Linked DNA regions of Schizosaccharomyces pombe. Changing the gene in region 2 together with the main gene of any one other region gives a genetic interaction. Each region holds a gene or a part of one and is shown on either strand. Other genes may lie near its edges.

The links.
Region 1: mutations in SPOM_SPAC26H5.07C (region 2) and ymr1 together harm fitness more than expected from each alone (negative genetic interaction), as found in Schizosaccharomyces pombe (one large-scale study listed by BioGRID).
Region 3: of SPOM_SPAC26H5.07C (region 2) and sip1, a mutation in one rescues a mutant of the other (synthetic rescue), as found in Schizosaccharomyces pombe (one large-scale study listed by BioGRID).

Annotation. Positions count from the first base shown.
Region 1 is NC_003424.3:2,482,266-2,493,431, reverse strand, and holds ymr1 (myotubularin family phosphatidylinositol-3-phosphatase), read left to right. Parts: upstream 1-8,515; 5' UTR 8,516-8,685; coding exon 8,686-8,709; intron 8,710-8,765; coding exon 8,766-9,341; intron 9,342-9,386; coding exon 9,387-10,466; 3' UTR 10,467-11,024; downstream 11,025-11,166. Other genes in the region: guanyl-nucleotide exchange factor Sec73, read right to left, coding at 1-2,569; ltc2 (BAR and PH domain-containing protein), read left to right, coding at 4,495-7,796, 7,895-8,234.
Region 2 is NC_003424.3:4,128,728-4,139,893, forward strand, and holds SPOM_SPAC26H5.07C (seven transmembrane receptor protein), read right to left. Parts: upstream 4,754-11,166; 5' UTR 4,737-4,753; coding exon 4,650-4,736; exon of another isoform or gene 4,573-4,649; coding exon 4,500-4,572; exon of another isoform or gene 4,277-4,499; intron 4,197-4,276; coding exon 2,839-4,196; 3' UTR 2,679-2,838; downstream 1-2,678. Other genes in the region: shelterin complex subunit Pot1, read left to right, coding at 802-870, 917-1,037, 1,110-2,587; glucan beta-glucosidase Bgl2, read right to left, coding at 5,895-6,860; SPOM_SPAC26H5.09C (gfo/idh/mocA family oxidoreductase), read right to left, coding at 8,846-9,955.
Region 3 is NC_003423.3:1,330,740-1,341,905, reverse strand, and holds the start of sip1 (Pof6-interacting protein Sip1 AP-1 accessory protein), read right to left. Parts: upstream 6,196-11,166; 5' UTR 6,183-6,195; coding exon 5,936-6,182; intron 5,892-5,935; coding exon 5,813-5,891; intron 5,775-5,812; coding exon 5,726-5,774; intron 5,677-5,725; coding exon 2,224-5,676; intron 2,184-2,223; coding exon 968-2,183; intron 924-967; coding exon 764-923; intron 720-763; coding exon 569-719; intron 530-568; coding exon 328-529; intron 305-327; exon of another isoform or gene 288-304; coding exon 85-287; 3' UTR 1-84. Other genes in the region: SPOM_SPBC27B12.07 (uncharacterized protein), read right to left, coding at 6,744-6,907, 6,975-7,299, 7,411-7,794; gpi13 (pig-O family ethanolamine phosphate transferase), read right to left, coding at 8,084-10,840.

The DNA.
Region 1 (11,166 bases), 1.6 Mb from region 2:
GCTGTAGGGGTGCACATGTCGATAAATTTTTGGCATTTCTTTGTAATACCATGAGTTTCTTATTGAACTCAGTAATAGATGTTTCAAGTTGGTCAATACGTGTCTTAATTGTCCGGGCACGTGCAATTTCCATATCCTGTTTCATTTGAGCTTCAATTGCTGCTAATTCTTCCTCCATATACTTTGGATAGCAAGAAAAGTCTCTTTTAGGATGGTAAGAATCACTTACAGGCATTCGCAGACCAGCTGTACGAAGTGTTGAGATGTAGTTAATTTTAGCTACCCATTCTATCATGCTTTCTTCTGTTGGAGCACAAAGAGTCTCTTCAGATCCATCCCGAAATATGACGGTAAAAGAACAATTGCGTACATTCTTCTTATCTCTGTCACAATAGGCAAACGCATTAACAAGCGAATAACTGGTATCGGGGGAAAACTCTTCTAGAGGTGGAGTAAATACAAGCGGAGGAATTTTTGGAAATTCATATTCCATAGCCTCTGTATCTATACCTTGCAACGTGTCAAAACTGCTCGAGGTAGTTGTAAAATTTTTGTAACGCCTTTCATAAGCTTTCTTTTGAGCCATGAGATCTTTAGCCCATACCAAATTACGAAAAAAAAGTATTCTAGAAGCGGTCAACAAAACCAAATGCTCTTTGTATGAATTGTGCCCCACACTTCTTCGCTTCTTTTCACACCGTGGTAAAATGCCCAGCATACTGATACTAAAATCAACTAGTCCCGGGTCAGCATTGTCTGGTAATCCAATAAAATGATTGGAGAATGCCATTGGATGAGATCTTTTAGAAACAAGCTGAATTATCGCAGGGCTGGAAATCAACTTTCTAACGTTCAGCAAAGACGCAATATCTTTGATACCTGGAGATATGAATTTTCCATCATAAGAGAGAGATATTTCAGGCCGTGAAATATTCAATTGATTTTCTAACGTAAATGTGTAAGGAGAAAGCCCTAACCTTTTACGAGATGTGAAATTGTACTTTTCGTTCTTTTCCTTCTCAATGAGAAGCAACTCATCATCCAGGTTGACAAAAGGAGTAAAGGTAATATTGTCATAATAATACTCCATTATCTCCGGAGCTAATTCATCTATGTCACAGAGATTTATGAATTCCTGCTTCGTCATTTTATGCTTATTATTTGAATTAAAAACGTCAGTGTGGAGCATCATCAAAGAAAACACCAGAATGTAACACTGATCTTGGGAACTGAACATCCCAGGGTTACATTCAAAATAGCGCTTAGAGAATGCATTGATGACACGATCAATCTGTTGAGTTTCCTTAGGAAGGTGAGATTTAAGTAAAAATAACCGCAAGCAAAAATCCAACGGCCGATTTTCAAACTCCATTCCCGACATACAAAGGTGCAGAGCTTTGTTCAATGTTACATGATCCTTTTCTGCTAGAACAGGGATCATACGACTATAAGGAACTGTCTCTCTAAGCTTTGAGAGATAACTCTCCGCAGTATCATCTGCTGTGAGCTCCGGAACAGAAGAAAGAAACTTGGTCGGATTAGGCTTAATATCAGAAAATAAAGCCGAATTTTCAATAGTCTGAGCTACGCATTCGTCATCATCCCGGCGCAAAGTTCGAAAACTAAAAATACTAGAACGGTTTTCTCTCAATCTTTCTAAAGTCCTTTGGGTAGGAATCGTAGAACTACGAGGCCGTGACCGAGAGCTTTGTGGCTGTGGTTGTTCAACATCATTAGGAATAGAAGGCGAACGATACAACCGGAGGGAACCCACAGAAGAAGAAGGTGATGGAACGTTAGAAGTCTGATCGCTTTTATCAACTGGCTTAATGTAATCAGAAGATATGGAAAACTGGATAGGAGGTCTTTTTACTACAGGTAAAGAAGCAATGCGTTTCCCCAGGTCGGACATTTTGACACTACTTTTCCGAGTACCATTCTGTAAAATCGTATTATCAGATTCCGCTGACAAATTCTCATTTTGCTGGTTTAGAGGGCCACCAGCTTTATCGAGAGAACCAACTTCAGAAGGAGAACTAGTAGTTGAGTTAACATCGGGATTCCAGGACTTCCTAGACCACTTCGGAAATCGAAAAAATGATCGAGAAGCACGAAGTTTCGCCGAGTTGATACTAGATGGTGATTTCAAAGAAGGATTGGAACCGCTTAGGTCTGTCGAAATAGGAGACGTGACATCTTTTGGAAAATTGGAATCGTTTGAAACGCTTTGACTTGAATACGATGCAACAGGAGAATTTGCTTGCTGCAAATCCGAAGACCAGTTGTGGTTGAAGTAAAACGAGTGCTTGGCTCTTGCGATCGGATAAAAAATATTTTTTTTCTTAGAAGAGGGCGAATTACTCAAGTCGGTCTGTGAATTACTTGTGAAAGATCCGCTTGACTTTAGTTTACTGTTATGCTCATTTAGTTTTTCTGAACGTTTGGACAGATATGTCTGACTAGACTTTTTAAAGAAAGAGGAGAAACTAGAAGCGTTAGGAGAATTTACAGTGGTATCCTTTTCGGATTTATTTGAAGACTCCTGGCTGGAAGGAATTCTGAAGGTCATTTCGCGCCTCGGCGCATGTAAGTTGAAGAAAAAGAAAGACTTAAAAAAGATTGAAGTAAAGAGAGACCTCGAAAATGAAAGGAAGATTCAAAAAGAAATGTAATGTAAACTTAAGTCAGGATCTAAATTTATAACAATTGGAGACAGTAGATAGATTTGTCGACTATACGAGGATAAAACTGACTGTAATAAGGAGAAAGCAACCAACGTATTACCTTTAATGAACAGATATTTTTTCCCGAATAATCAAAAGAAAAATCAATTGAGAAACTACCGAAGCGAACGAACAAGGGAAAAACAATTAGTGATTAATATAATGCATGCAGCATGGAATGAAATGAAATGAATGAAAAGTAATGAACTGGAAGGTATGGAAGATGAAAAATGGTTATGAACAAAGAACGAGAAACTGAAACGAAGATGTAAAAGTGAAACTTCTGTGAGACGGTTCAAATGAATCGAAATTTTTTAAAAAAAAAAGCACAAAAACCAAGTGTGATCTGATTTAGGCAGCGCAGAGCAAACCGAATAAGCAAAGCAACGAAAGTAAAATGAACTCTAGTAATTTGAAACCCTCAATGGAAATACGAACACAAAATTAATGAGCAAAAGTCATGTCCTTGGGTTGATAGCAGGAAATTTAATGAATCGTCAATTGCTAACCAATTCAACTAATTAATTTCCCTAGAATTTTAATAATGAGTACAAGTTTTGGTGCTCCAGAAAAAAGAATTGAAAAGTAAATACTAGTTTTGTTGGTTACAGTAGTGTTATTTGCTCCGTCCACAACATGCCCGTGTCTTTATCGCCCAATGCATACAAACCCGCCCACCGCAAGGTATTCTGCCACACCCTTCCTCGTATGACCAAATCCGACATGGTCTGATAGAAACGTAGATAGCAAATGGCTAGCACGATGTTCCTGATAATCTAATGGGGCAAATGGCACCATAATGTAGTTTATTTTTTTATTTCTAATGTCAATGATTTAGAAAAATTTAGTTCGCTATCGCAAGTGCTTAAGATACACTACTTCAAAATTATAAACATAACAAATATTTTTAACAAGCTCAGCTGAACATGTTTCTAGGTTGCACCCTTTACTCATTATAATAATTTTTTTTTTAAAAATTAATTTTGAAAGCAAATAGCAACCAGATGTGGCAATAAAAAAAGTAACAAGTAATTTACCCACAACAGAAAAATCTAGGTATTTTTTATAATTTTAGAGATGCTTTTGTTTTACTATATACATAATTCCTAACTGTTCATAAAATTTATTTAACCACTTTACCAAATATTTTGTTTACATACCAATTGAAGTACAACCAAACCTGACCATTACAGTTATTGATCGTGCTCAATTTGTATATTGTTTTATAATGACTTAAAAAAGATTAAGTGCAAACATCAAGTATAAATTAAGATACTATGCTCACAAATTAGTGCCACAATTTTTGTAATAAGGCTAACTCATTCTTAGTAAATTTTACTTAAAAAAGAAGAAAACGAAAAATTAAAAGCACTTTTATTTTTCTAATAGTAAATGTATTTATATTTATGATATGTATAAGGATGGAATCATTTCACTTATATATTTTAAGTAAAAATTCCTTAGCTAGCTGAAACATTTTCCTTGTGATTAAATTTCTAACACTCAGTTATTTCGTATTTGTTTACCTTATAATAGAAGTACTTAAATATCGTTATTCTAATATAACGAATTGCTTCATCTTGGTTAAAAAATGCAGCGTCACTCTTAAGTCAAAAACATCAAGTACGCCGCTACAAACATGCCGCATCCGACAGCCGAAAGCGCATATACCGGTTTAAAAATCATCCTTTAGACGAGTGGACATATCGTTCTTAATGCTTTCTTATATGAATTGAAGTTTTTGGAAACTAATAGAAGGAAATGAAAAATCATGGCCGCTCCTGCAAATGCGTCTTCAAAAAAGGATCATGTTATTCCAGTCTTACTGAACGAATGTAGCATTGATTCTCCGTCTTTTAGGGCGAGCATGTATTATCTAGGGAATCAAATCAAAGCGTTTAACGAATGGTCTCATGATTTCTTATGTTGCTGCAACAAGTTTATCGAGTCAATAATGGCGATAGAGCCCATTGTCGCCAGTATGTCGTTGAATGCTATGCCTTCTAATGTTGCTTCAGGATTTTTTGATCCTGATTATGCAACAACCGCTTTGCTTCACGGTCAAGACTTATTTCGGTCGTCATATATGGTGCAACTTCAACAAGCTAAAAATTTACGGAAATTTATTGTTGCTCCATTAGATCTATTTCGAGATTCAAAAGTTAAGCCTTTGCTTCAATTAAATGATCGCTTTAAAGCCGAGCAAGCCAAGTATGATGCGGAAGTCTTAAGGTATTCTTCTCTTGGACATTCAAAAGATTTATCGCAAATGCGGGATGAAGCAAAATCTTTATACGAAGCTCGTAAAAGTTATTTTACAGTTGCTCTACAATACGTAGTTCGAGTTACCTCCTTTCGCTCATCCATTGATTTCATAGTTATTGAAAGCATTTGCAAGTTTTCAATTGAAACGTTTCGTTTGACTGATCGTCTGCACGAGTCCAATAGGCATATAAATGATCAACTAATTCGCTTACTCTCTTACGAAACTAAACTTAAGGAATCTTATCCTTCACTAAAAAGAATAGTATCTAACGTTTTTGATAGAATTGAGAAGGAAATTCTTAAGAGAGTACAGCCACCAACTAATTTAGACGCATATCGTTTCGATCCCCAGCAAATATGTCAAACAAACGCAACTAAACGTCAAGGGTGGTTACTAAGAAATATCAGTTCTAGCAAGGCAGATAACAAAGCAATTTGGAGAAAATACTGGTTTTTTGTCGACAATGGCTATGTCGGATATCTTATTAATGATGCCAATGGTGGTGTTTTTGAGAGCGAAAAAATCGGAGTCCTTCTGTGTAAGTTTTCTGTTTTACCAAGCAATCATCGGAAATTTTGTTTTCAAATAAAAACGAAGTCCGTGAGCTACATTCTGCAAGCCGAAACTCACATGGAAATGCTTGAATGGGGCAGCGTAATAAATAACGCTCGAGAACACTGTATCAATTCCGGGATATCTGCTAACCGAATCTTGTCTCCTACCTTACCATCGTTTTCTGCTAAAGCTACATCAATTATAAATCCACAAGTCAATGGGCGCTCAAACTCTACGGGGAAAATAGGAAAAAATTATCGTCCTCGTCGTACTTATTCGGGACGATTGTTATGTGGTCCAAACAATTATGAAGTTTCAACTATAATGCGATCTCCCACAATTTCAACTGTTCCTCCTCCAAAGTATCTTTCAAATTCCATAAATGGCGCTAAATTCCTTAATCCGCTTGCTCCATGGACCCTAGTCAATGCACCACTGATAACAAATTTGACTCACGAAACGATAACCAGCCTTTTGGACCAGGAAGCCTTTTTTCATGGTAATTCTCCTTGCGCCTTACTGGCAAATTTTTGGGGTTCAGTCAATTACGGCCATGTTTTAGAGCGTCAGAACGTGTACATTGAAGATCTATCAAATCCTTCTTATAAACGTTTAGCTAGAGAAATTCACATTGAAAAACTTCCTTCTGAGCTTAAGTTGAGGAATGCTGAATTTAGAGGTATATTTGGTGAATCGGAAGCATCTACCGTTTTATTTGTATGCCGTGTTTGTAGTAAAAGAGAGGATCAAATACGTATGCCTGGTCGAATGTATTGCACTATGAAAGGGATTTACATATATTACAACATCAATGGATTGGTCCTCATTGAGCATTTCCCCATTTCTAGCATTTTAAACGTAAAACAATTTGCTAGTACTAAATGTGATTATTTTTACATGAATATCCAGAACATTGGGACTGTAAGGTTCCGTCTCTATCTCGATTCTTCGAAAGCTCTAACTGACCGACTTAATGTGTTACTGTGCAATTACATTGCCGATAAACCAAACAGTTCAATACAACTGTTGTCATGTATCAAAAGATTGAATGATGATGTAAAACGCTTTGAAAGGGGTGGTGACGATAATGCTCTCAAGTCTTATGGGGTACAGCCATCTCAAGAAGATCTCCTTATTCGAAGAGGAAGGAGTAGTAGAGCGCTAACTAATTTGATCAATAAGAATGAGAGTAATGATTCATTTATGGAAGACCTCAGGGACTTCAAGATTGCTATGCTTCCGAAAGAGACAGTCCAAGTTGTTCGTTCTCATCATCTGGACGATATTGTATTTGATCGAGTGTACAATGTTTCTACTAAGGCATTGTTTCATATTGTTTTTGGTGATAGAAGCACCGTGTTGTCTGGTGCTTACAATCTTCATGGAGTAGATGATGTCGAATTTTTACCATGGGGAAAAGATCCAAAAACCAATTTGAGTCGTCGATACATCAATTATAAGGTTTATAATTACGACCAAGAAGGTCAATGTCAATCTTACCACTATGAGGATTGCCAAATAATGGACGTCCGCAATGATTATCATTTATACATTATGACATGGCTTCATCACTCTTGGACTTTGCCTTATAGAGATTACTTTAAAATCGTGACAAAAACTTCTATATCTCACCTTAGAAGGGAGAAGTCTAGATTGCTCATATCTGTAGGCCTTGAATGGATCGTTAAACCTTTTGCTATATCAAAGGTTATTGAGGCTGAATGTAGAAAACTGGCTATCAAGTATATAAAAACGGAAGTCAACTTTTTGGAAAAGGCAACTAGAAGAGCAAGAAATCAGCCGCTTATTGCGATAATAAATCAATATGGAAGAGTAGGCGACTACAATGAATCGATGGTTTATCGAAGAAAAATACCTTTTAACTGTGAATTGAAAAACCTGTCAATTATCGATATTATTCGCAATAATTGGTGGCTTTTTCTTCAAGGATTGGCAATTGATCTACTAAAGCTGCCGTGGGCTGTCTTCCACATTTTCCTAAGATATTTATTTTCTCACTCATTTTTGGTTATTATTTTTGCTTGTTCGGTTATCTTGAACCTTTCTCTCATGTTTTGTTTTGGAGCTAAGTACTGGGATGAGCGACAGAATAACAAATTTGTCGGGCAAGTTTTCGATGAGTTTAAAAATATTGAAACTTCTGCTCGTTATGTTTATATGAAGGACGTTGATGATTTATTAGTCGGACTTCCTACTTATTTGCACCCCAACGTCACTTATCCAAGTGAATGGTAAGTTTGTTAGTAGTACCATGTAATTATAAATGTTGATTACATGTACATTATATTATCTTTTTTTTGTTATTATTATTATTCTAATCTTTTTACAGTTTACAATCATTTGCTTTAAAAAGTTCTCCTCAAAAAAGTCACTGGTTACGAAAACGGAATTATATTGCAGAAAAAAGAAAAAAAATATTGGAAAATTTGGCGTCTCTAAACTATTACGAATATATAATTCACGAGGATGCCGTATATCAATACATTCAACAAGAGCTGTTGGGATGTGACAAAGCAAGGGAATTTGATTTATACCCACCCTCGATGCAAAGGTATTGCGATTCTTGCACGCAAGATTGGAGGAACCGCACTTTGTTTTTCGGCAAAGACACTCTAGCTACAAGATTATTGACACTCGAGACTGTGGAAAACGCAGACTACGCTGCATAATTGTTAATGAAACTGTAACTTAATTATTTTTATTGTTATTTTATTATCTTTTTTATATTTAGGGTTTTATGAGTTATTTGATCAAGCACTCGTTTTTTTTTGTCAGATACACAAATTAATAAAGTTGAATTTATTAAACATATATATACCAAAGATAAGTGTAACTCCTCTACATCTTTCAGAATCGTCCTTTCTATTGTTTAATAAACAAGGTAATGATATGTCAAGTTGTAGCCTTGATAACCGCAATGATTACAGCCATGCACTTGGCAGCATTAATCGACAGCACCACCGTAAATAGTTTAAAACCTTCATCTATCTAAGTAGAACGCAATTACATTCTGCGCTAAACACATATTTAATTCTTTGTACTCATATTTTGTCACAGTACTTGATAGTACGAGGGTTGCTTCATTTTATTCAATTGCTTATAAAAAGAAGTTTCCGTGTGATGGAAAACATCAAAGTTGCAAAAGTAAGCATAATGCGATTAGATCTAAAACTTAATTTTATCAAAATATTAACAAATAGGTCGGAAATGTGAAGTTTGTGAACAAAGGAAACGAATTGAACGGAACATTGCATTTGACAGCGTATCATTCTATTTTTTCAATCTCGGAAAATGGGAAGGAAATTTGGACGGCATATTCCATGATAAATAATGTAAAGCTTTGCTCTAACGAAAAATCATTTTGTATACGTATACAATGCCGAGACTTTATGTTCTTTTGTTGGAGGTTTCAAAGCACGGAGGATGCGATGGACGTATACGACACTTTACAGGAATTGATGTCTATTAATTCAATAAATATGCTATACGCATTTTACTATATGCCCTCCGGAGATGAAGAGAAACTGCCATCTTCTTGGAAATCATTTCTACTTGAAAATGAATATAGGCGCATGGGAGTAGGTGATTCCACCCAAGCTGATGGTGCTGGCGGAAATTGGAGGATAACTAAAATTAACGAAAATTACTCTGAGTGCCATTCTTATCCGCAAGCTCTAGCCGTTCCCGCTAGCATTTCTGACAGTGTTATATATTATGGATGCAAATATAGATCTAAAAATCGATTTCCTACCCTTACGTATCTCCATAAAAATTCTGTAAGTTTTACTAACTTTGAGAGGCTTTAATACTAATTTATTTAGTTTTCAATTACGCGGGCCTCTCAACCCCTTGTGGGTATTCGTCAAAATCGAAGTGCACAGGATGAAAAACTTGTTGAAGCTATATTCGCAACATCAATCATTCCTGGAAAAGAAAATCTTATAGTTGATGCGAGGCCTTCTACTAATGCGATGGCTAACATTGCCGTAGGCGCTGGAAGCGAAAACATGGATCACTACCGTTTTGCAAAGAAGATATATCTTGGAATTGATAACATACACGTCATGAGGGATTCTTTAAATAAAATTGTGAATGCTCTTAAAAATACAGATATTAGTGCGGCACCTCCATTGATAGAACTCTTAAACAGATCAAGTTGGCTTAAGCACTTGGCTAACATTTTACAAGGAGCGGTTCTTATTGTTAAAACAGTTCATTTTAGGCATGCCCATGTACTTGTACATTGCTCAGATGGATGGGACAGAACTTCCCAGTTATGTGCTCTACCTCAATTGTGTTTGGATCCTTACTATAGAACAATTGAGGGATTTTTTGCTCTCGTCGAAAAGGATTGGCTTTCCTTCGGGCATAGGTTTGCAGAAAGATGTTGTCATTTACCTGGTAAACGTATTTTTACAATCGACAGCTCATACTCAGAAGAACCACCCCAATCTTCACCAAGTTCGACTTTACAATACACTTTTTCAACAGTACGCTCTGCTTTAAGTGGCTTCTCAATTGACCATTCCGAAAAAATGATGTCTCCGGTCTTTCATCAGTTTTTAGATTGCGTCTGGCAAATTATGGATCAATTTCCTAATTGTTTCGAGTTTAACGAGAGATTTTTACGCCGTCTACTTTACCATCTTTACTCTTGCCAATACGGTTCGTTCCTATACAACTCTGAACGGGAACGAGCTCAAGCATCCGTCAGCACTCATACTCGTTGTATCTGGGACTATTTCCTTTCTCGGAAGGATGAATTCAAGAATCCTAACTATGTACCTTATGATGATGTTATAATGCCTGATCCTTCATCGCTGAGATGGTGGTCAGCTTCTTTTGCTCAACCTGATGAAAACATGAATATCCCATCACCCTCCGAATCTCCGTCTTTATGAAACATTTACTTGAAAATCTTCATTGGACATTTTCCTTCCATTTTTGTCTTCATTGGAAGTTCTTTATTAATTCCTTTTTATGCTCATTTTAGCGCAATTTAGATTGATTGCATCTCTTTCTTTCTCTCTTTTTAGCCTCTCTTTTGCCTAATTCAACTTTTCATCATCGCATGTTGACTCCGATAATCTATCTACATGGACTTTTGCGAGAGACTATGAACGCATGAAGAGGACGACAGAGTCGTTTAATTTACTGATACATATTTTGAAAGTTTACGTCCCAAATCTTCCATTTATTTTGGTGATCCATGCTAAAATTTTTTTATCCCCTTTTATACGATTATCGCTTGGACTACGAATCCCGTTCCTATGATACTTTTATTTTATCAATTCTTCCAATGTTCTTCTACTCTACTCGTATAACGGACCATTCACTGCATTCTCATGCAATCACTTAACAAAGTTTGGTGTAGATATGCTAAGCGATGCTTATATATAGTATGTATGATTGCACATCTCATGATTGGTAGTTTAACAGCTGATCTTAAATGACTGCCCAGTAACGAGTTTTTTCAATATAATAGTGAGTGTTAGTAAGCCTTTCTAATTACTGCAGTAAGAAAGCTTTTGAAATTATAGTATTAGTTTTCATAACTTTAAATTTTTCTTTTCTTTTTTTTTTACTTTATTGTAAGATTCA
Region 2 (11,166 bases):
TATGAGCAAACTACTGTCAAAACTTAGGTATTATGACAATGAAATCGTATATATTATATTCGATTGGATCAATTTTTTATTATATTGAAAGTAATTGCTTATTTTGTAAGTTAAACTTACATGGGTTTAAACGCATAGAGCAGGTTGGCGCTTTTAAAACCAAAATAGATCGTTGCAGGTTTGCTGTTCTGGATCGTGAATGCAATACCTTAGGAAAGTCTTTTAATAAGCTATCGCTTTTTGCATTGCATTCTTTTTCTAAACTGAACGTTAGATTAGCTAAAGTAAGCGTCTTGAGTTTTCGAGATGAACCGCATACATTAAAATTTTTAAGTACCAATTGGCATGAACCGGTATGCGATCTGCTTATTATAATACTAGTAAATCTTGATACTCGGCAAACTCTTTCAATAATAGCCTAGCAGAAACTGGGATATGTCTAAAGTTTTACAACTGCGCTCAGCTTAAGGACTTTACGGCGATCCATTTAATAGCTAGCCATGAACACTCATAACCTCAAGATTGAGGAGTGGGTCATTCTTTTGCTTGATAAAGAAACAAATTCATTATTGGTAAAATAAAACTGAATAACCCTTAGTTCATCCTAGGAATTTGAAGAAGGGGAATGATCAAGCTTGAACAAGTAACTCTCACGCAGTCTATTGAATAATCTGAAGGTTCATCACTTTCAAGGGGTTGTCTTGGTTTAAAAAGCTTTTACCAATTCCATTTAGGTTTCTGAGAAAGGCTAAAACTCATTTGTTGTTCTTAAAGGATATTTGGATCATTCGTTGATCAAGCATGGGAGAGGACGTTATTGACAGTCTTCAGTTGAATGAGTTATTAAATGCTGGAGAATATAAGATTGGAGTGAGATATCAATGGATTTATATTTGTTTTGCTAACAATGAAAAAGGAACTTACATTTCAGTCCATTAGAAGCTCTCAAGAATTACAAAAGAAGAATACTATTGTCAATTTGTTTGGAATAGTAAAAGATTTTACCCCTAGTCGCCAAAGTCTACATGGAACTAAGGGTATGCTTGCTTATCATGGTGGAAACTATACTTTTTATTTTTCCAGTCAAGAGCTAATAATCATGTTTTTAGATTGGGTAACCACCGTATATTTGTGGGATCCAACATGTGATACATCAAGCATCGGACTACAGATACACTTGTTCAGCAAACAGGGAAATGATTTGCCTGTAATCAAGCAGGTGGGGCAACCGCTTTTGCTTCATCAAATCACATTAAGAAGTTATAGAGACAGGACTCAAGGTTTGTCTAAGGATCAATTTCGATATGCACTTTGGCCAGACTTTTCTTCTAATTCCAAAGATACTCTCTGTCCTCAACCAATGCCTCGTTTAATGAAAACGGGAGACAAGGAAGAGCAATTCGCCTTGTTGTTAAATAAAATTTGGGATGAGCAAACTAATAAACATAAAAATGGCGAATTATTGAGTACCTCTTCTGCTCGTCAAAATCAAACTGGATTGAGTTACCCTTCTGTCTCTTTTTCTCTGCTATCACAAATAACTCCACATCAACGTTGTAGCTTTTACGCTCAGGTAATTAAAACTTGGTACAGTGATAAAAACTTTACTCTTTATGTCACTGATTATACGGAAAATGAGCTTTTTTTTCCAATGTCTCCGTATACTAGCTCCTCGAGATGGAGGGGCCCTTTTGGTCGGTTTTCTATAAGGTGCATTTTATGGGATGAGCACGACTTTTACTGCCGCAACTACATTAAAGAAGGTGACTATGTGGTTATGAAAAATGTGCGAACCAAAATTGATCACCTTGGTTATCTGGAATGTATACTTCATGGGGATTCAGCAAAACGTTATAATATGAGTATAGAAAAAGTCGATTCGGAAGAACCCGAACTAAACGAAATTAAGTCACGTAAAAGGCTTTATGTTCAGAATTGCCAAAATGGTATAGAAGCAGTAATCGAGAAACTCAGTCAAAGCCAACAATCGGAAAATCCTTTTATCGCCCATGAATTAAAGCAAACTTCTGTTAATGAAATTACGGCCCATGTCATAAATGAACCTGCTAGTTTAAAATTGACTACTATTTCTACCATACTTCATGCACCTTTGCAGAATCTTCTCAAACCGAGGAAACATAGGCTACGCGTTCAGGTGGTAGATTTTTGGCCAAAGAGTTTGACGCAGTTTGCTGTGCTATCTCAACCACCATCTTCGTATGTTTGGATGTTTGCCTTGCTCGTAAGGGATGTATCGAATGTGACTTTACCGGTCATATTTTTTGATTCTGACGCTGCGGAACTTATTAACAGCTCAAAAATCCAACCTTGCAATTTAGCTGATCACCCGCAGATGACTCTTCAGCTTAAAGAAAGATTATTTCTGATTTGGGGGAACTTGGAAGAACGCATTCAGCATCACATATCGAAGGGTGAATCGCCAACTCTGGCTGCTGAAGATGTTGAAACACCATGGTTTGATATATATGTCAAAGAATACATTCCTGTAATTGGGAACACCAAAGACCATCAATCTTTGACTTTTCTTCAGAAGCGCTGGCGAGGATTTGGCACGAAAATTGTTTGACTATTGTGATACAAAACTTACAATAATGAAATGCTTACGGAAAAGAAACATAAGAAAAACAATATTTAAATTTAAGGAAAGCTCTATATTGGGAGAATTTTATAAAGCGAGCGAATTTGTACTAAGGAAAAACACAGAGGGGAAACGTGAAATATCTAATTGCTTAGACTTTATATAACATCAACTTCGAAATAATCTTAGAAATTAATTACAAAAATAATAAGGATTGGTTTGATGTATGGTGGTTACATCTAAGCAGGCTTTTGCTTAGAAGTTGCAAGTGTTGAGGCATCATCATCACTTTCATCGTCAACAGCGAATAGAGCTTGATGCTCATCGGCACTGCCATGAATAATATGAGGGTTGGCTGGAGATGTAGGACGCTCATGATGCAGATGCAAACTATCATTTGAGAGAGAGGAAGTCATCTCAAACTCATCTACATCTTGAGCAACTTGCTCACTCATTGCGAAACGACGGTTATTCTCGGTAGGACGCCACAAGTACAAAATGGTAAGCATCAAGATCAAAACAAGAATATCAGTGTATCCGTAATTAAGGAACCAAAGAAGTTTCCAGTATTTTAAGTAATAGTTCATTTGACCGTAGATACCAATCAAAATGGCATTGGCTGCGACAATCGAAGCATAAGCGACAATGCCAAAACATATAACAATCCAAAGACGAGTATACATCTGAGCCTTAACAGTTTGCTTACGAATACGGAGATCACGAATTGTATTATTTAAAGCCAATACAATCCAAAGGAACATAGCGAAGAGGGTGATTAAAAAGACAGGAGCGGCAAACAAAATGACCAAAGACTCTTTATTAGATGGGCTAATGAACAAAGATGACAAGAAAAAGCATGAAGAAACGAACTGCAAACCAGCAAGAATTTGACACTTACGAAGAAGACTTCCCAAACTAGGAACAACAATAGAGTAACCCAGTGAAACAATTAACAGCAAAAATCCGAAATAGGATTGACGAGCGGATTGAGCTAACGACAAAAAGAAAGCAAAAACTTTACTACCTGTAGTGTAACCTTTGCTATTCGCGAAATAGAAATAACCTGTAGAGACCATAGTGCAAACAATAGAAAGAGCAACAACACCTGAAATATACTTTTGAACTTGAAGGAGATCATGCCTATAGCGGAACATAATAAAAGACCACCAAATTCCAATTAAACAATTGATCGCCAAAAGAATGGGATTTAAAAACAAATGAGGATAATCAGTAGCATCCAAATTGCCAAAATAGTTTTCCCAGGTTACGGTGATTTTGTAAGCCTCGCTGGAGCCTTCAAGGGGTGCGGTAAAGACGCAATATAGACCAGATTGCTCAACCGGATATTTAAGGGGACTAACCATGGATTCAGCGTCTACGGCGGCTGAGTAAATAGAATCGTGGGGAGCGGTTTGGTTAATCAAGTAAAGACCATAATCATCGTCCTTGCAAACACCGGCTTCAATGTCTTCGTAGTTACATATATAATGCTTCTCGCCATCATCGTCTTCCATGCCGATGGCATTAACATCTTTCCAGTTAAAAATTAGCAAACGAATGGCGCCGCCAAAGTCAGATGTATAAGAATCGATTTTCACTATGTTCAAAGTTAGTAACAAAACTTAACAAATAGTAAAAAAGATTAACATAAAAAGGTGCTTAAGAAATACAGTCAAGATTTCGACAAAACGATATAGATAAAGATCTGCAAAACTCTGAAAAGATTAAGCAACGATCAATTTCCCATCGCTAGTAACTGAAACATATTCAAAGAAAAGATGAAGAAACAGCATAACTCTTAGTGTCAAAACACGATAAAAGGCTCGTAATGTTGATTTCCGTCGCCAAAAAATTCCCGATTCCTCAAGCAACTATGAAAGCCTATATAAAATTCACATACGAGTAATCTCTGATGTTTTTCCTTTTTTGGCAAACATTCCATTACAGACTTGAGATGCCATAATATCCTCAGTCTACAAAATTATTGCAATTAGTTAGCGTCCAATATTCTACTCTGGATTCCGACTATCAACCACTATAATCCACGTACCAAAAGACTTTTATTATCGGAAGCATTTACAATGAAGAAATGCAAAAAGCATATAAACCCTACAAGAGCCGACTTTAAAATCGCCATTTTGGAGCTTGGTTCTTGTTCGGTTGTTCAGATCAACTGCGTAAGGGGTACGAAAGGCGCTGCTCGTTTAGCGACACATTAAATCTTGCTATACTTTTAGTGAGCGGAACTAGTTAAGTCACTATATAATAAAAGAAGCGGCAAAGCTTGCAAAAATGCAAATTAAAAGAAAAACTAGTTTATTTAAGGAGAATAACTTCTATAATAAAGCATGTATTCTTTATTTGTTTCCAGAATAACACGCTATTGTATAAGGAGAGACACGCCTTTTTCAGATTATATGCGGTACGTTAGATAAGCATATTATATTAGTAAATAAACTCAATTTCAAAAAAATGAAGAATTATAAAGCACTGAAGAATGGTATTTCTAGTAACACTGCCAAATCTATATTGTTTAAGTGAAAATTGGAGGACAGACGTATGCTCTAGCGAAATATAGATTAAAAAAAGAAAATGATCATCGTCCGCTGAGATCATGAAACGCTATTAACTAAATACTGTTTTTTCTTCTCGTTTTTCTTACCAGACATTGATAAGCTGTTTAAAATGCTAGTAATTGAGCAAACCAAATCATTGTTTACTTGGTTTGGTGACTTCTGTTATACACGCAAAACCAAAGATAATCTGATAACGAAGCTAAAGAAATCTAAGTACAAGTCACCCTTTAAACACTTCAAAAAACCTCAGTATCACATTCCATGATATCTCAAAGTCTTGAAGATGAAATGGCTTACAAATATTAAAAGCAATAAGTGCTACAATAATTTTTGTTTCTTAATGTATAAACAAACTCAGCAATTGCGGTGTAGAGAATTGAGAAAAATGGATATTCGTTTGTTTTATATAACAAAGATTTATGGAAAAGTTTAAGTAATATGCCTGAAAATGCAAAATGACATGTAGATAATGAAAATGCAGTAGAGTTTGAGTAATTTGGATATTTTTTAATAAATTCCTAATTAGGAAAATTTTAAAATAGTAAAAGTTTGTTTGTTTGTTTTTGGTATTTTCTATGTTGACGGAGAAGGCGAAAGAGCAATTAAAATGTTAAAAAGGCAATAATCAATCAAGCAAGTATGGCAAAAGCATACACATGAAGTATAAAAATCCAACGTTGAAAAGATACGCTCAAAGTTGAATATAACTATTCAATTGTTTACTCAGAGGTGCAATTCAAATTGTACTTGAGAGTGCGGTTGCTGTACATGGCTCCAAAGTAGGGTTCAACGGAAGAGGAGTCACCCTTCCAGTCCTCGTCAAATGCCTCGAAAAAGAAGATATCAATGCCCTTACGACGTATGTTACACAAGGCCTCTTGGAAGAATTCACTAGCAATATCAACCGTGGCATCAGCCTCTCCATAAGAAGGACCATCAGTAGGCCAACCAGTCTCACCAACCCAAAAGGTAACGTTGTTGGTACCCTTGACGGATTGGACGCGCTCTAAAGCAGCCAAAGTATCGGAGATGAAGGTGTTGGTCATGTTACTGGTGTTTTGACCTTGCCAGTAAGGGAAGTCATTCGACATGATAAAGTCACTGGCAGTAATAACAACATCACCGCTACCACCAGCCCACAAGTTCCAACTATCCGCAGTACCAACGGGAACATCGAAGCCGAGCTTTTGTTGAACAAGGCCACGGACGTCGTAAATGCGTTCGGCAAGGACGTCAGCAGGTAGATCATTCCTGTACAAGACTTCAGAGCCAACTGTTATAGCTCTAACATGATCAACACCATACTGAGGCAAATACTGCATAAGAGCTTGCTTTTCCAAATCGTAATGAGCGTCGTCAGTGGGCCAAACACCGAGGATGGCAGAAAAGTTGTAAGGCGACTGAGCAAGTGCGGGTAATAAGTACTCGAGAGTGTTACAATCACTAGTGGCATAGGTACGAATCATGTTGGTGTAAGGAGCAAGGACCTCAAAATCAGCCAAGTAATCGTCCGTATACTTGCAGGTGCCATCAGCATGCTTCACGCCTAAGCAGAAGCTGAGAGTGCCATTGGTAGAGGCAGGCTTGGTGGAAGAAGCGATTTCGGAAGCAGCTTCATCAACAGCCATAGCAGAAAGAGGCAACAAAGCCAAAGCGGCAAACACAAAAGACGAAAGGAATTGCATTTTTGGTGATGAAAAAGAATAAGACAATTGAGTTAAAAAATGAAGTAAAAGTAGAATAAAAAAAATTTGATCGAAAACGGTTTAAAAGATAAAAAAGAAAACTTGAGATAGAGAAGAAACTTTTAACACCTATTAAATTCAGAGACGAATCCAAAAACTATAGTAGAAACGTTGAATTGAGTGGATTGTTGTTTAAACGAAGAATGTTTTAAAGCGAGAAAGAAAAGAGTGGAATGACCCTTTATGTTGGGAAAAACAAAAGAAAAGAAAATAAAATAAATGCGACTGAAAAAGGAAAAAAAAAATTTTAACCAATGTAAACTCCTGCTCACTATCCACAATGGGCAGGCCAGAGGCTCTTAAATATTATTTCTATTACAATGCAATGTTAAATCTCACTATTTTTTACGACAATGGTGGAGTATGTCGGAAGGGAAAAAGTGGGTAAATGAGGTTATTGAACATTCGGTTCACTAAGCCTCGAATCATGAGTACATTGTTTCATTAAAAATGTTGAAAATACATGAAATAAACGAATGTTCAAACGTTTTCTATGCGATCGACAAGCCATATCTCAAGATTTCATCACTTGAGTTGTCCTTTCTAATTAAAATTTTTTGGAATTTTTTAGAAACCAAATCAAAGGTTTATATGTTCAAATTGGTGGGGTTCAATAAACAAATAAGATTGTTTATTTGAAATAATTTTTTGAATTGTTTTCTAAAGCTTCTACTATTTTTTGTATTTTTTCCTAAATTTTTTTAATTAATTTTTATATTAATTTGAGGAAATTTCTCAAAAGTTCCAACACAGTATTCTAGCCGCATTATTGAATCCATTCGTTTCTTATCCAACATATATCTTTATTCTGTTTTGTTTTTATTTTTAGCCGAGTGCATGGATTCATGTTCTTGACCTTTTTACGAGGGAAGAATCTTTATTTTTTTGGAATATGGTATTTTGATGATCTATCGATGTAAAAATGAAATGCGCTGTACATTTAAAGGATTTTTTGATTCATCACAGAATTTCTAATTTAAATGATATTTAATGTATGATTGATTTGTATTCAATAAAGTTAGTTAAAACTCATTTTCTTACTTATTTAGTGAAAGAATCTTTCCTTGTAAAAAATTTCACTAAACACACTTCCGCTCAAATAAGAATTCGTAGCGGTCCGAAAAAATTTCTTTTTAAATCCGTCAGCGGAATTAGGATTCTTTTCTTGCCACATGAATGGAATACGAGTAAAGGGTAACAATAGCGTAAACAACTGGGAGAAAAGATTGAAAGAAGGGAGAATCAACGAATTTGGTTTGGCCTGTGTATGAAATAGTATTATATAACCGAATTAAGGAACAGAGTAAATAAAAAGATGCTTGTTTTTATGGAGATGTGTTCTGCTTAAAAAAATAAAAAAAAAAAACAGTGTTTTGTTTTGTTGGTCTTTGTAAAATACGAAGAAATGAATTTTACTTTTTAAGAAACTTAATATTTTATTTATTTTGTTATTTTCCCTATGTGTCATATTGTGAATGATTTTTTTCTTAGTATAGAAGTTGACTTTTTTTAGTATATGTATTTAATATGTTGTATCTTTCTTCCTTCTATTCCTACCTGCCTATACAAAATCCCTATTTATTATACGCGCATATATACATACCATCCCAAATCTGTTGCTGATGAAAACATAATATATATTTATATTTATAGGTATACTAAGATATAGATAGACGTATGTATATAGCTTGCATATTTACATGCGCAGATAGAAATTATATACTTACTTGTGTGGTTAATTACCAGTTCTATCTGTTTGCATCGGTTCGTCATCAGATATAGTATGTCGAAGGTTACAGTACCAAACATAAAACAACAAAAACAATGCTTACTGAAAAGTCATAGAAAACGTAAAAACATAAACTGTCTGGAAGGAAGAAAAAAAGAAGAATTTGGAAAGACGCGCAGGTTCAAAACCATGAGACCTACTCGGACAATGGGATGGAAGTAGAGGATTGGGAACTCTTGTAAGCAGCCTCAATGATCTTCTCTACCAACAAAACTTGATGAGGCTTCACCGAAGTTTCAAAGGTCTTCGTGACCAAGGCTTCATGCACCTCCAAATAGAATCGACGATAATCACCGGCAATGGTCATTAAAGTGCTCTTCGTAGGTTTTGGGGGGTGTCTGACATCGATGTCGGGAGGTAGGGTCCAAAGGGTTGCATAATGATGGGAGGAATCGACACCATAACCTGGATCCATGGGAGACATTCCTTCGTTCAATTGGGACTCTTGGGGATCAATGCCAAACTTCAAAAAGCTACCGCGCGTACCCTTGATAATATAACGCATGTCCAAACCACAAGAAATGCTGGAGGAGCACACAATAACGTCAAGAGGAAGTCTTCCTTCTTGGGGCAGATAGTGGAGAACGATGCGGAAGCAATCCTCCACCTCCAAAGGTGGGATCTGACGTTGTGATTCGAGCTTTGCCGTTACGGAATGGGGAGTGCCAAACAAGGTGATGGCCTGATCGATCAAATGAGAGCCCAAGTCATACACCAAACCACAGCCGGGATTAGGAACATCCTTCCAATTACCTTTACGGAAAAGGCGAAAGCGATCGATATGCGACTCGAATTGCACAACTTCGCCCAAACGACCATTTTCGATGCATTCCTTTGCCGTCAAGAAATCACCATCGAAACGACGATTTTGATACACGGTCAACATGAGGTTTTTGGACTTGGCGAGATCGAACAGCTCCTTGGCCTCGCCGTAGGTGGGAGTGAAAGGTTTTTCACACAACACATGCTTACCGGCATTGAGCGCTTGAGAAACGACCTCGTAGTGGACGTTGGGAGGGAGTGAAATGACGACTAATTCGATGTTGGAGTCAGCCAAGAGCTCGTCGAGTTTGGTGTACACCTTTACGTTTGGAAAGGCAGCGCGGGCTTTCGATTCGGTGCTGGTAGCACGGCGCTCCCAAGCAGCATAAACCTCGAAATGGTTGGGTAGCGCCTTTAAGAAGGGATAGTGGAAGATAAAGGCAGACATGCCAGTACCGAGAACGGCAGTTTTAATAGGCGCCATTGAGAGTAGTAGGGAGGGGAATCAAAAGTAATGTTTCTACAAGAGGAATGTTAGTAAAGATGCGACAAGACAGCCACAGGGAAGGGCAAGGGCAAGGGCAAGGTAGAAGAGGAACCAAAGGTGGATAGAAAGAGCGCGCGCACAATATTAAGGCATCACAAGCGCTCCATGCGATGTCAAGTAACGCATTGCAACTCAACTCAATCATGATGTGTATTTCCTGAACCATCTCTATTCCGCAATCGCAATCGCACCCGCGCTTGCACTTGCACTTGTACTCGCCAGCTTACTACATACCTTGCTTGAAAAATGAATAAAATATAATGTAAATACAGTCGGCCCGCTTGTTAAGCTTGTTTCCTATGGACCACAATGGATTCTAATGTCAACCTAGCTAGTTGGTTCTTTGCAAATTCGATGCGACCCGCGCCCGTTATCGATTAAATAGTCTACACCGCCATTCGCCCACGTAAGCAATCAACACACAACCTTTTTCCATCTCGTTGTTTCAACCTCGTACAACGTGTGTTAAAGCGGGGCCCATCGGGTACCACGAAGAAAGGTGCAACTTGAGCTAAGATGCAGCTATGTAATGAATGACGTTTATTAGTATAAGCAGGATGAGTTTACCATGCAGATAGGGGGAACGTTTCAGCACGTAAAAGGGAACTAAAGGACACTATGCTTTAGTATGTTGTGTTGTGCTATGTACTACTATGTGATATTAGGTTGTGTATGCTATACTGTGCTATGCTAGTAGCCGATGGAGAGAGAGAGAGAGTATGTGCTTGTATGTCAAGGGAAATTGTAAACAAATTTAACTTGCTGGGACTAAATGATAATATGAATGTTGATATTACTTGGAAATCCTTCTTCAATCTCATTACGCTTGGATAAATTTGTTGAACCACGTTTGGATGAATGTTTTAAATTAAAAAGTTTTCTAGCGTTTGAATCCATGCCATCTCTTTCCCTCATCTCTCTCCGGCTTGACTTTTGCTCGCTTTTGTCTGCTTCCCAATCACTTGTTTCTAGAACCGGCCACTTCCATTATGTGCCTGCCGTTCTTATTGCTTTTGCCTCTATAAGAAAATACTATGGGTTTGTTTGGTTTGGTCTGGCTTCCATTTCCGCGCGATCGCTGTCAGACTAGATGCACTAAAATCCCTTGCACATTAATTAAGAAGAACTTTGTGGGGATAGGGAGAAAG
Region 3 (11,166 bases), on a different chromosome or scaffold from region 2:
TAGGCAAGGGCATCAAAAAAGTGTTTATTTATTTATAATTAATAGTAAAGGTATAAAAATATAAGAAAATTCGCAGTATAAACATTACTCAACATTTTGTATTAAGATCTCTTCAACGCATTTTTTTTGCCTAGGAGAAAGTTGTTGAATGATTGCTTTGGCCTCATCTGGCTGAATAGCCATAATCTTCAGCAGTTTTTCACCGATTCTTTTTCGTGCGTCAGCGTGCTCGACGAGGATACTAAAATGTGCAGCTATCGGAATAGACATGCTTAAAAATGATTTTTCTAAAAGTTAGAATAAAATAATATTAAATAATACACTTACTCTTCTCCTCCGGAATATGGACATGCATATCAAGCAATGCAGGTATAAACTCCGTGACATAATCACCACTTTTCAGAACTTCACCGTTCTGTAGCATCGTAACCGATTTGTAAATAATGAAACGGCAAAGAGCGCTCATGCTTGGGTGTTTACTGTTAACTAACATCAGCGATGTTACACAACGAGTTCTTAAAGCAAAGTCCTATATGTTAATGTAAACCTTCCAAAATTCCTAACAAACCTCTTCTGAGCTCTTCAAGGAAGAGAATAGTTCTTCCAAAAAATCGTGTACCACAAGCTGCTCACTGTCTAATATAGGAGCTGCAAGAGTAAGTACAAGGACCATGCTCATAAAAGCAGTTTCGTTTTTCTCCTTTTTATCACTATCATTACTTTTTTAAGGTTAGTAATAGTACAGGTGGCAATCAAAACTTACATCGTTTCTTTGTAGATGTTAAGGAGGTGTTCAAAAAGAGTGTATATCAAAGTTGTACATGTGTGATCATTTTGCTCAACCATTGTACTCAACAACTTTCTAAGAGCAGCTAACAACTCTTGCTTAGAATTTTTTAATAGTTGTTGATCGTCCATAATGACTAGACAGTTAGCATGAAATTATTCGTTTATTTTTAGGACTTACCTTCATAAACATGCATTGCTGTCGCAAATAAATCAACACGCACAATAGCGGGGAAAATGTTGGAAACATCAAGAAATGCATTAAAACACAAAATAACAAATTCACTAGCTTTTTTATTGGTAGCTGATTCAGCTGGATCAGAACGTAGGCCCGGCACTCTAACCGTTAAAGCTAATGTCAATATTTTGACCAATTGAAAAAGCATTTCGACGCTTTCTGATACAGTAGGCTCCATAGATGTTACAGAATCTGTTTCACAAAACTTCAAGTCATTGTGTGCCGGGTTAGCAAGAGCTAACTTTTTCACAAAAATGACAATACTAGCCTTCGTTTCCCAATCCTCCGTCAAAATCAAACGAACTAAAAGATCAACAACTTCGGGGAACACATTATGGTCATAAAGAACCTTGGTACATAATTCTTCAGTTAAAACTTCAGTCATAATTCGCATAATTCTGAAAACTGGATTTCTAAAGCCTTGCAAAGTGCTTGGAATTAAGAGAGATTGGAAGCAGACACTAAACAAAAAAAAGTTAAAAGAGTACCTGTTGGAAGCATAATTTATGTTGTCTTGGAAGAATACGTCCTCCTCAGAAAGCGACAGCTCATCTCCACTTAATATTCCATAAATCAGATTTGCATCAGTAGAAAGTAATATTGTTAATGACTCTGCGATGTTCAGCCAAGATTTCTCATAAATATTGAGAAGTATTTTAGGGTTTATACTTTGGACCCGAGTGAAAGAGGTATCAGCTACAAAATCTTTTACTAAACTAGGACCAAATTGCAATCTGGAATATCCTCTTAAAGCCATAATCCAATGCGAAGATAGCCTTCGGATGTTAGAGGAAAGAAATTCTTTCAAATATGACACATTCGCTGAATGTACCAGCAAAGAAGCCCAAGCTGATAAAGTAGCAATACGAAGAAAATATTTCGAGTCATACTTAAAGTGACGATTTTCCTCAAATCCAGCCCTCTCTGGTAAACTAGATTCCAACGCTTCTTTCAATAAATTGAGGATTTTAGCTGCTTGCGATTCGGTTTTTAGAAGTCCAGTTCCAATAAAATTGGAAGCTATATTAAGAGACATGGCTACTATTTCAGGAGATGAATCATCTACAAACGCGGAACTAAAAGCAGAGCTGATTTGAGCTTGAAATTGGTCCAAAAGAGAAACATCGTCAAAGTCAGGATCCATAACATTCGAAAAGTCCTAAAAAATTGTTAGCGAGTTTCCTTTAGATTATCCTTACCGTTATGATAGTATCCAAAAGTTCAAAACCCCCCTGCTTCAAGTAAAAGTTGTCTGAAGTAGACAAAACAAAAGCAGCACGGACTAGGTCAGATATCCTAGAAATCAAGTATTTTGCGGGCTCTTTATTTTCGGCCATCACTTCAGAGATACATGTTTTAAGGCATGTAGCTGCATAAAACTGCGTCTGCCAACGGTAATTCTTCTGGAATAATGGATTACTTGCGTTTTCGGAAGTTCCATAAGCCAAAGATACGGTATCTTCATCTAGGTTGTTTTGTATATCTTGTTCGTTGGATCTTTCAGAACTCGAAGTATTTTTTATGCCGACAAGAAAAAGTAAAATATTTACCCATGAGTGTATGTCCGAATCTTTGTAATCGTTTAGCCAGATATACAGTATGTTCTTCAAAAGCTTGTTGTCAGGAGTGGTGTCGAGTGATTGCCAAATAAGCCTATCAAAATGTCGCTTATAACATGATTCCGAGAACTCATGGTTTTGAAGCAATATTTGGTATAAAACTTCAATAGAAATTTCCCTACGTTTAGGTTGCTTTAGGTCAATTATGTTACCACAAAGCTCCCTAATGAAGAAATCAGAATTGGTTTCTAATGGTGTAAATAGATATAGGTGCTGATAACATTTGTAAACGTGTATAATGTTATCTCCCGTATCTCTACTAAGTAAAAGCAATTGGTGAGCTAAATCGAATGCGAAATGCGAAGTAGAAGAATCGGATCGCAAGTTTGGTCCAAGCTCATTTATCAAACAATCCAAGTAATTGGCAAAAAGAGTGGACGGGAAAAATAAACTGTTTCTCTTCTTTAAGAGCTGAACATCAATATCACATTCTGGCAATAGCATATAGCTCAATAAAATGCGTGTCTGGGCAGTTAAAACACTCGGAATGGTCTTTGCGATAGACCCAAGAGAAACGGAAGAAGCACGAATAGAACACTCTCTAACAAGGTCATTCGAATCAGTATTAAAAACTTTGAGCAGCTGATAAGCGGTGATGAGGGTAGTTTGGGGAACTCCGGAACCAACCTTTTTTAATATATGGCCAACGGCTAGAATCAAGACAGCCCTGCAATTTGGATCTCCCGACTCTGCAGCACGTTTAATTATTGTATCCAAAACGGACGTCGGTTTGCTTTGATATAAATATGCCAAAAACGCATAAGATTTCGAAATGTAAGGAATTAACTTCGGATCGTTAACAGCAGTCAAGTTTTCGAGCAATTCTATCATAAGGGATACAACCTTGTCAGGCAAGGTAACTTTTTTGTTATCGAAAGCAGAGAGAAATCCATAAATGGAAAATAAAGTATTTGCTGTTACTGCCTTGTAACGTAAAATATCTCTCCCACTCTTGAGGTTTGTCACAGACGCTACCATAATTTCGAGAGTGCTCTCCATAACCTTCGGAGGTTGATGACAAAACATAGACGCAAATAACTGGATCGCGTTATCAATTAAAGAAGTTAAAGACGGGGGTACGTAAGGAAGTTTTGCAGAGTTTGATCTCGAAATCACTGACAGGGAATCAGAAGATGACTCGCAAATATAACAAGGAAGTATATCATCCATGGTTGTTTGAAATTCTTCCTCTGGCTGAGCGTAAAATCGTGAACCAATTCCAGGTATAACTCTTGGAGAAGTAAAGGCTTTCGCTTGAACTATTTCGTCCGCAGTATCATATCCTTGTAAAGAAGAAAGTTCGGCTATAGTAGACACAGTCGTGGATAGTAATTCTTGATCATCTAAACTCATTCCACTTAACTGAGACAACTCGAAGAAACATTGGAAAATCCGAGCAAGCAAGAGAGAGCGAAGTTCCAAGTGAGAATAATCTGAAGCGGGAATTGGCATGGTAATTTCAAGCCTTTTGGTTAACGAAAAAGCTTTGTAGAATTTAAGGCAGTTATTTAGGAAAATAATGACTCGCTTCCTAACATCAGGTGTGAATAAAATCTTGTTATACTCCAAAAACGAAAGCAAGCACTGTAACGCTTCAAACCGATTAAACATGTCTGCATTTGTCTCCATGAAATTTTGTGAATGTATTTTTGAAGGTACTCTGGAAAGGGCATTCTTCCATAAAATTAGCAATTGGGACAATTGCATTCTAGTAAAAGAAGGACCAAAAGAAACGTAAGCGCTTAATAGTCGCCAACCAGTCTTGATTTGTGCTTGTGCCGCTAATAAATCCAATTTAGATGATGACTTAATCAAATCCAAAGAGAAGTTAAATAACTTTGAAAATATAGAAGAAGCAACATATAGAGGATTTTCTTCGGCGGCAACATAAATCGACATCAACGACAAAGTAAGATTATTGAAAATACCAACATTCAATTTGGGACTTACTTCCTTAGGTTTAGAACGAAGGTGCTTAAATTCCAACTCTAATCTATTAAAAAGAGCAAGCAAAGTGGGCATTAAAGGAGAAGGCATAACGGATAGTAAACAGCGCAGCAACCAGGCTACTTCATTCTTCAATGAATCTTTACCCAAGTATAGAATCTGTAGTGTAGTATCTAGTAACTGACTATATAAAGCAGTAGCCGAACCCTTTGATCGGCTTAATATATCAGCGGTGGAAGCCATCGCAGTCTTAACAGCAATTTCCGAAATCTTCGACTGATCTTTTAAATAAGGCTCTAACACTCTCTTTAAAAGTATTTCAATTCCCTGCAATTCAGAGCTTTGATCGAGAAATCGCCTTCCAATCACATCGCGAAACAAGTATGTACAATGATATTGCTCCAACGAAGACAACCATTCTTTTGAAGTAGAGTGTGATTGGTGTAATAGAATAATATCCACTATAGTAGTGTAGTTGAGAGAAACAAAGGATGGACGTTGCATTAGAAAAAGATGCTTAACGGCAAAAACAAGAACCGCTTTTGAGCTTTCATACTTTGCATGCTTGGAGTGATAATTTTCGACAAGAATCCGTAGGGCGTGACGAAAACTCTCAGTTTCATCAAAACGGCGAGTAGTAGACCGATTTTCTACTTCCTCATTGTTCTCATCATCCGCTGGAGTTGAGGGTACTGCGTTTGCAGCGGCTTCAATCGATTTGTCAGCTTGAGCACTTGCAAGTGCAGAAAAGCATCTTCCTAAAGAAGAATGGAGCAAAGAATTATCAATTGATGATTTTTTAAATAGAAAAGATTTGAACCATTCCAATTCTGAATTACGAAGACGTGAAGAGCCCAGAATGTAGTAAGCGCAACGAAGTGCAGATAAAAGAACATTCGTTGATGAAGTGTTTAAATTTGATTTAATACATTTCCATATTTCTTTTATCAAATCTTCATTCGTAGACTGAATAGATGTTTCAATGCATTTCGACAGTCCATCTAATGCGATTGAGCGAACTCCATATGACAAATTGGTTTTCGAATATTTGAAGAAAAATCTTATAAAAGTCTCTTGCTGATTGATCTATTAAGGTTAATTATAAGTTTATAGAAAATATCCAAAAGAGTAATACCTGATTTCCATATTCTTCCAAGCAAGAAGTCAGAACGGATAAAACGTTACTACCGGTTAGTTGATATTTCAAATATTCTAGACATACATAATCTCTATATAGTCTTTTTTCTCATGAATGCTATCCACGAAGTAAAGTAAAACTCGATGCTGATGATAACCCTCGACTAATACTTGTTAACATATACCATTTTCCATAAATCTCACATACGTCCTTTTAAGAGTGCAATTATACAGTTAGAAAGAAGTTTTCTAGTTGGATAAGCAATAAAATTTCCATATTTTTTGATTAACGAAAGTAGGGGATTTAAATTAGTTTGTAATGAATCCTCGCGAGTATTTTTGTTCAGATTCCTCAATTGTTTTTCGTAATTGAGTAAATCAATATATATGGTCTCCCTCTTATCTACATCAGCTACTTTCGTCAACTTTTCGAGCGGCAATGATGCTAACGACATATGTGGAGCGGCCAAACCAATTTCCCTAGGCTAAATCTATATACATTGAGTTGCGAGGTACTGAAATCTGCAGTCGACATTTACACGATTTACAATAAATTAATAATCAAATAGTCTATAGATAATATATTTATTATTATCATTATAATTAACCACTTTACTTATCAACCACGAACACAAAGATGTTTTAAATTGTAGGAGACTACTAGAATGCAATAGCCATTCCGAGTATCGTTAATTTTAAAATTAAATAAAACAACGAAAAGTCATTTATAGATTTAGTTTTGAAATGGACAAAAATTTTGTCTGAGAAGGCAAAAATCACAGCTCAACGCTAGTATGAGCATCTGCAATGCAAACAATTATTATGCTATTCATAATGGTATTTCCATGTACAATAAGAACAAGGGGTCTCATGATCAGAAGGAGTACTAATAAAACTTAATATTTGCATATTTCCATAAAACCTAATTGAACATTTTCATAAACAAAGAAGAAAACACAAAAAAAAAGAAAGGACAGATATTAATGAAGAGCTCGAAATGCTTTGCTGGCCATAACTCACATATGGGAGAGATTAGTATCAGTATAATCATCGCGCTTGTTATCTAAATTAAATGAACCTAAATTATCAAGCTCATCTTGTTTTTCTTTTTTTCTGCTTCGTACTCCAAGTCCAAATGGAATAACCAGCACTAAAAACCCTGTAAAAGCCATCACCACACCTGAAAAAGAAAAGGAAATTAATAAATGAAATTTCAAATACCTAGTTTGAACTATAAATATACTTACCTGCTGCTTTTCTTATTTGGTCCCATTTCTGCCTCTCATTTTCAGCCCTCAATTTACCTAACGAAACGGCTAATAAATTGTGTAGTTCAACAATTCTTGCACTCAATTGCTGGACTTCATTCTTTGTATCATTTTTCCGATTTTCAAACTCCATTTTGCTTTCGGTATTAAGCTTGTTTAACTGCTCGTGAACCAATTGTTCCAAACTTTCTACTTCCCTTTGGTTTGAAAACAAGCCTGAACGTAACGAACTGATTTGATCTTTTCTCATATTTATTTTCTCTGAGCGAAGCTCCGACAAAGCTGTACGAAACAAATAGGAGCACTATACAAGTTAGCTATGACAGTTCATTTGAAAGCAAAAAAAACCGTCAATCTATAATTAAAGATAAATTTAAAGACGGAAGGATTCTGTAGCTTAATAAATCATACGTACATTTTCAAAATCAGCTTCAGACAGGTAATTGAGATGACTATGTCGCAGCATATCAGTAACAAACATATTCGTGACTTCGAGAAGACCCTCGGCCTCTTTTTCTGTATATCCTTTATCCATTAAAGTTTTCAAAAATGTAAATGTGTTGAAGTGATATCCTTCAAGGTCTCTGAAAGGACGATTTTCGTGATTGGCATTTACTACTGAAAGACCCTTTTCCATTTCACCTGCATCTGTCCCTTCTGATGCATAAAATCGAATTTGCTTCGTTAAGGATAAAGAATAAGGAATTAAACGAAAAGTATTGATACTATGCACTTTAATCCCATGCAAGGTAATTCGGGATCGATTAACATCTATAGCTTTTCGTAGCAAAGAGAACATTTTGTCAAGCTACCAAATTTTGATTATAAATTAAGCAACTTATTAACAGACATAATTAATTTTTGTTAAAAATTGGGTACGATGATTGTGGTGAATGTTAAATGTACATATCAGAAGGCGTAAAGGAGTAGTATGGGTGTACCCATAGAAAATAATAATGATGAAAATGCATTGATAAGTGGTTTTGATTATTTCCTTATAAGGTTTAAAATGTTAAAGGATATAAAAGAAAATATTTCTACAATTCTAATTATACGTCAAATTGAACGAGGGCAGTGAAGCTTTATTGTTATTCAGCATCTTCAGGAAATTTGACAACAGAACTTCCGAAGCATTGGATCAGGACAAAGAGCTGATGAGTAACAAGTAATATTCCACTTAGCATAAACCGAGGTGCAAACACTTTCCAAACCATCAAATGGCGACGAAAAAATCCAGCAAAGAAGACAGTACTCGTCGAGATCAATAGGTTATAAAGAATGAAAGAAAAGGAGAATCGAAACAAGTTTATCAAGAATCTATTTTTCTTGGAAAGTGGTTCGAATGAAAATAGTGGAATCGAAATGCAAGTAAGTATCGGCGCACCGACCGTATGCAAAAACATGAATATAGCGCTTATAGCCTGGTTTTCAGCAGATTTTGAATGAATGAATGCAAAATTCCAATCAAGAGACGATATAGCAGCCTGATTTCCCGTTGTAAAAAAATGCGACAATCCCAATAAACCTAGCGTTACCGAAAAGAAGTTGTGACCAACACTTGGCTGCCATTGTTTAAGTTGAATAAGAAGCAGGATTTGTAAAAAGCAAGAAAATAAAGAGAGATGTCCCAGGGGCCTTTGCAAAAATGAGAGAAAAGAATATAGTAATGCAAAAACGAAATATGATCTTTCGATGACATTTATTTTAGCAAACTTGGATCGCGACAGTAAGAAGAATTGCCATATCAAAACACCAAGAATGCAAATTACGTAAGTATTTGCAAGTGAGTATAAAACATGATGATACTGCTTTTCTAATAAAGCATCATTCGCGAAAACATGATGAGCAATCCAAAATATTGAAGATATTAACTCGAAAAAATAGAGGATTGAAAGATGATAAAGTTTTAAAGAAAGGCCAAGAACGCGTCGCAAGTGAAGTTGCAGAATGAGAGGCAATATAATAGAAGAAAGAGCCATTAACGCCAAAACAATCAAGGTTCTGAGGCTGTTATCAGGAGTTGAGATGTACGTGCTAACACAAAACGCACCTTGCTCTTCGCGACAGTTAGTTACGTACGAAGAAATTACCTGTAAAAGGATAAATGCCAATGCAGAGTAAGTAGAGCATGCAAAAAGGGGGCTCATTTCGGAAAAGCATTTGCAAAACATAACTAGTCCAATAGTGATGATCAAGAAGTGACAAAGGCGATCTTCCCATACTGTAAAAGAGTTGGAACCAAAACTGCAAACGTGTAGAAAAGTTATAAAAATACTAAAGTAGTCCAACTTGACAAAACCTTTAAAGTACTCCATCAACTTCTGATTAAAGGAATTTAACAGGATGTAAAATGAAGGAAGTAATACATAGAATTCCGCCGGGAACGGAGAATGAAGTTCGTTGTTTGCCAAAATTAAAATTAAGCAAACCGGCAAACATTTCATGACTGATGGAGCCATATTGGCAGACATCCTAAAAATCACCGACTTATCTTGCATCAACAAAGCCAAGTTAAATCCACCTATAATAAGAAGTAAAAATCCAATGATCATAGGGAAAAGACTAAACTCCGCCCAAATTGCTTTAAAGTAAGAGAATGCGTCTCTTGCATAGTCAAAGTCTAAAAAGTATTGATCTAAATAAGAGTTATTATTTTTATGGACAGAGGACGAAAGGAAGTCAGAAGCATCTAAATCATACTCGCTAAAGAAGCGATTGAGTTGACCGATATTAATCTTTTGGGCTTTCGACAAATATTCATCTCCATAGTAGTAAAAAGGTTCTGGAATTAAGGTACCAAGGTTGCCATACGGAATGGGATTTCCTAAGAGCAAACTTAAGGTAGGAACTAGATCTACCTGATTTGCACTTAGTACTTTACCTGGTTGTTTCAAATAGCCAAAGGTTGGCTTTTTGCTATACATCCACAGTACAGAGTTAATTTCATCGAATGAATCACCACCGTGATTTCCTTTGTTGTCCATACCATGATCTCCCATGACAATGAGTAATGTACTATCATCCAGTAGATCCATCATTTCTTTCACACACCTGTCCATTTGATTCAGTTTATCTCGCATTGTTGGATGATCAGGTCCCAAGCGGTGACCAACGTGGTCAACGCCCAAGTAGTGTGCTATTAGGACATCAAAGTTGGCATCTTTTATATAATCGAATACATATTGATTAACCTTATTATCTACTCCATGAAGATCAGGTACATTGAAAGAAAAAGCAGGTTGAGAGAGTGTCTCATTCAAATAATCATGGAACAATACGTCCCAAGTATCATCACCTAGCAATACGATTTGTTTATCTAATGATTTCCATTGGAGAAGCAGATTATCCTCATCAATATTTGTTCCAGCGAAGTTAGAACCAAGATCAATAAAAGTTGGTAACGAACCAGTAGTGAGACCTTTCAATCTTTGAGATGTAGTAGTTGGGGCATCTGCTATGAATTGTGTTAAGTAAGAGTTTTCTGGATGAAGGACAGAAGTTTCGTATGGAGTCGTGAATGCATTATGGTAATAATTGCTATCATTATAAGGTATTAAAAAGTCATAACGGAGAGCATCTATGATGACAATAACGGCCCGTTCAAATATTTTGGGAGCCCAACAACCTGATGAATTTTTCCATTCGCGCACATCGGCAGGCGGGTTTTCGCATAAAGACGTTTGGTTTAAAACAGCTCTTCGTAAAAGGAACCCGTCGGTGAACGATTTCAAGCCGTAAAAATTCGAAATTAGTATAATCGCGAAAAAGATGCAAGCTTGAATATATTTCCAAGTTCCAATGGTACTGGTAAGTTTTTTTTTACATTTTACCCTTTTTTCCTCCATGAATACTCCTTCTCTTTGATATATTACTTAAACGATTGAAGAAGGTAAATCGCAAGAACAAGTTCCGTGGTGAGGTTTAAGACATGTAAACATTGTAATGCATTCACCAAAGAAGATGGAAATAGGCTTAAAGTGACTGATAATTGGTTATGGAAATTTACCAAGAGTGAATTTTTAATTTTTAAATAAAAGCTTTCGCAACAAATTTAACTAGTAAGATCAACTTGCTTTTACGAGATGATTCTTACGGCAACCTAACTCTGTCGATTGATGCTATATATTTACTAGTTTTATTTTTAAAAATGTTAACTTTTCTCCTTTGTTGT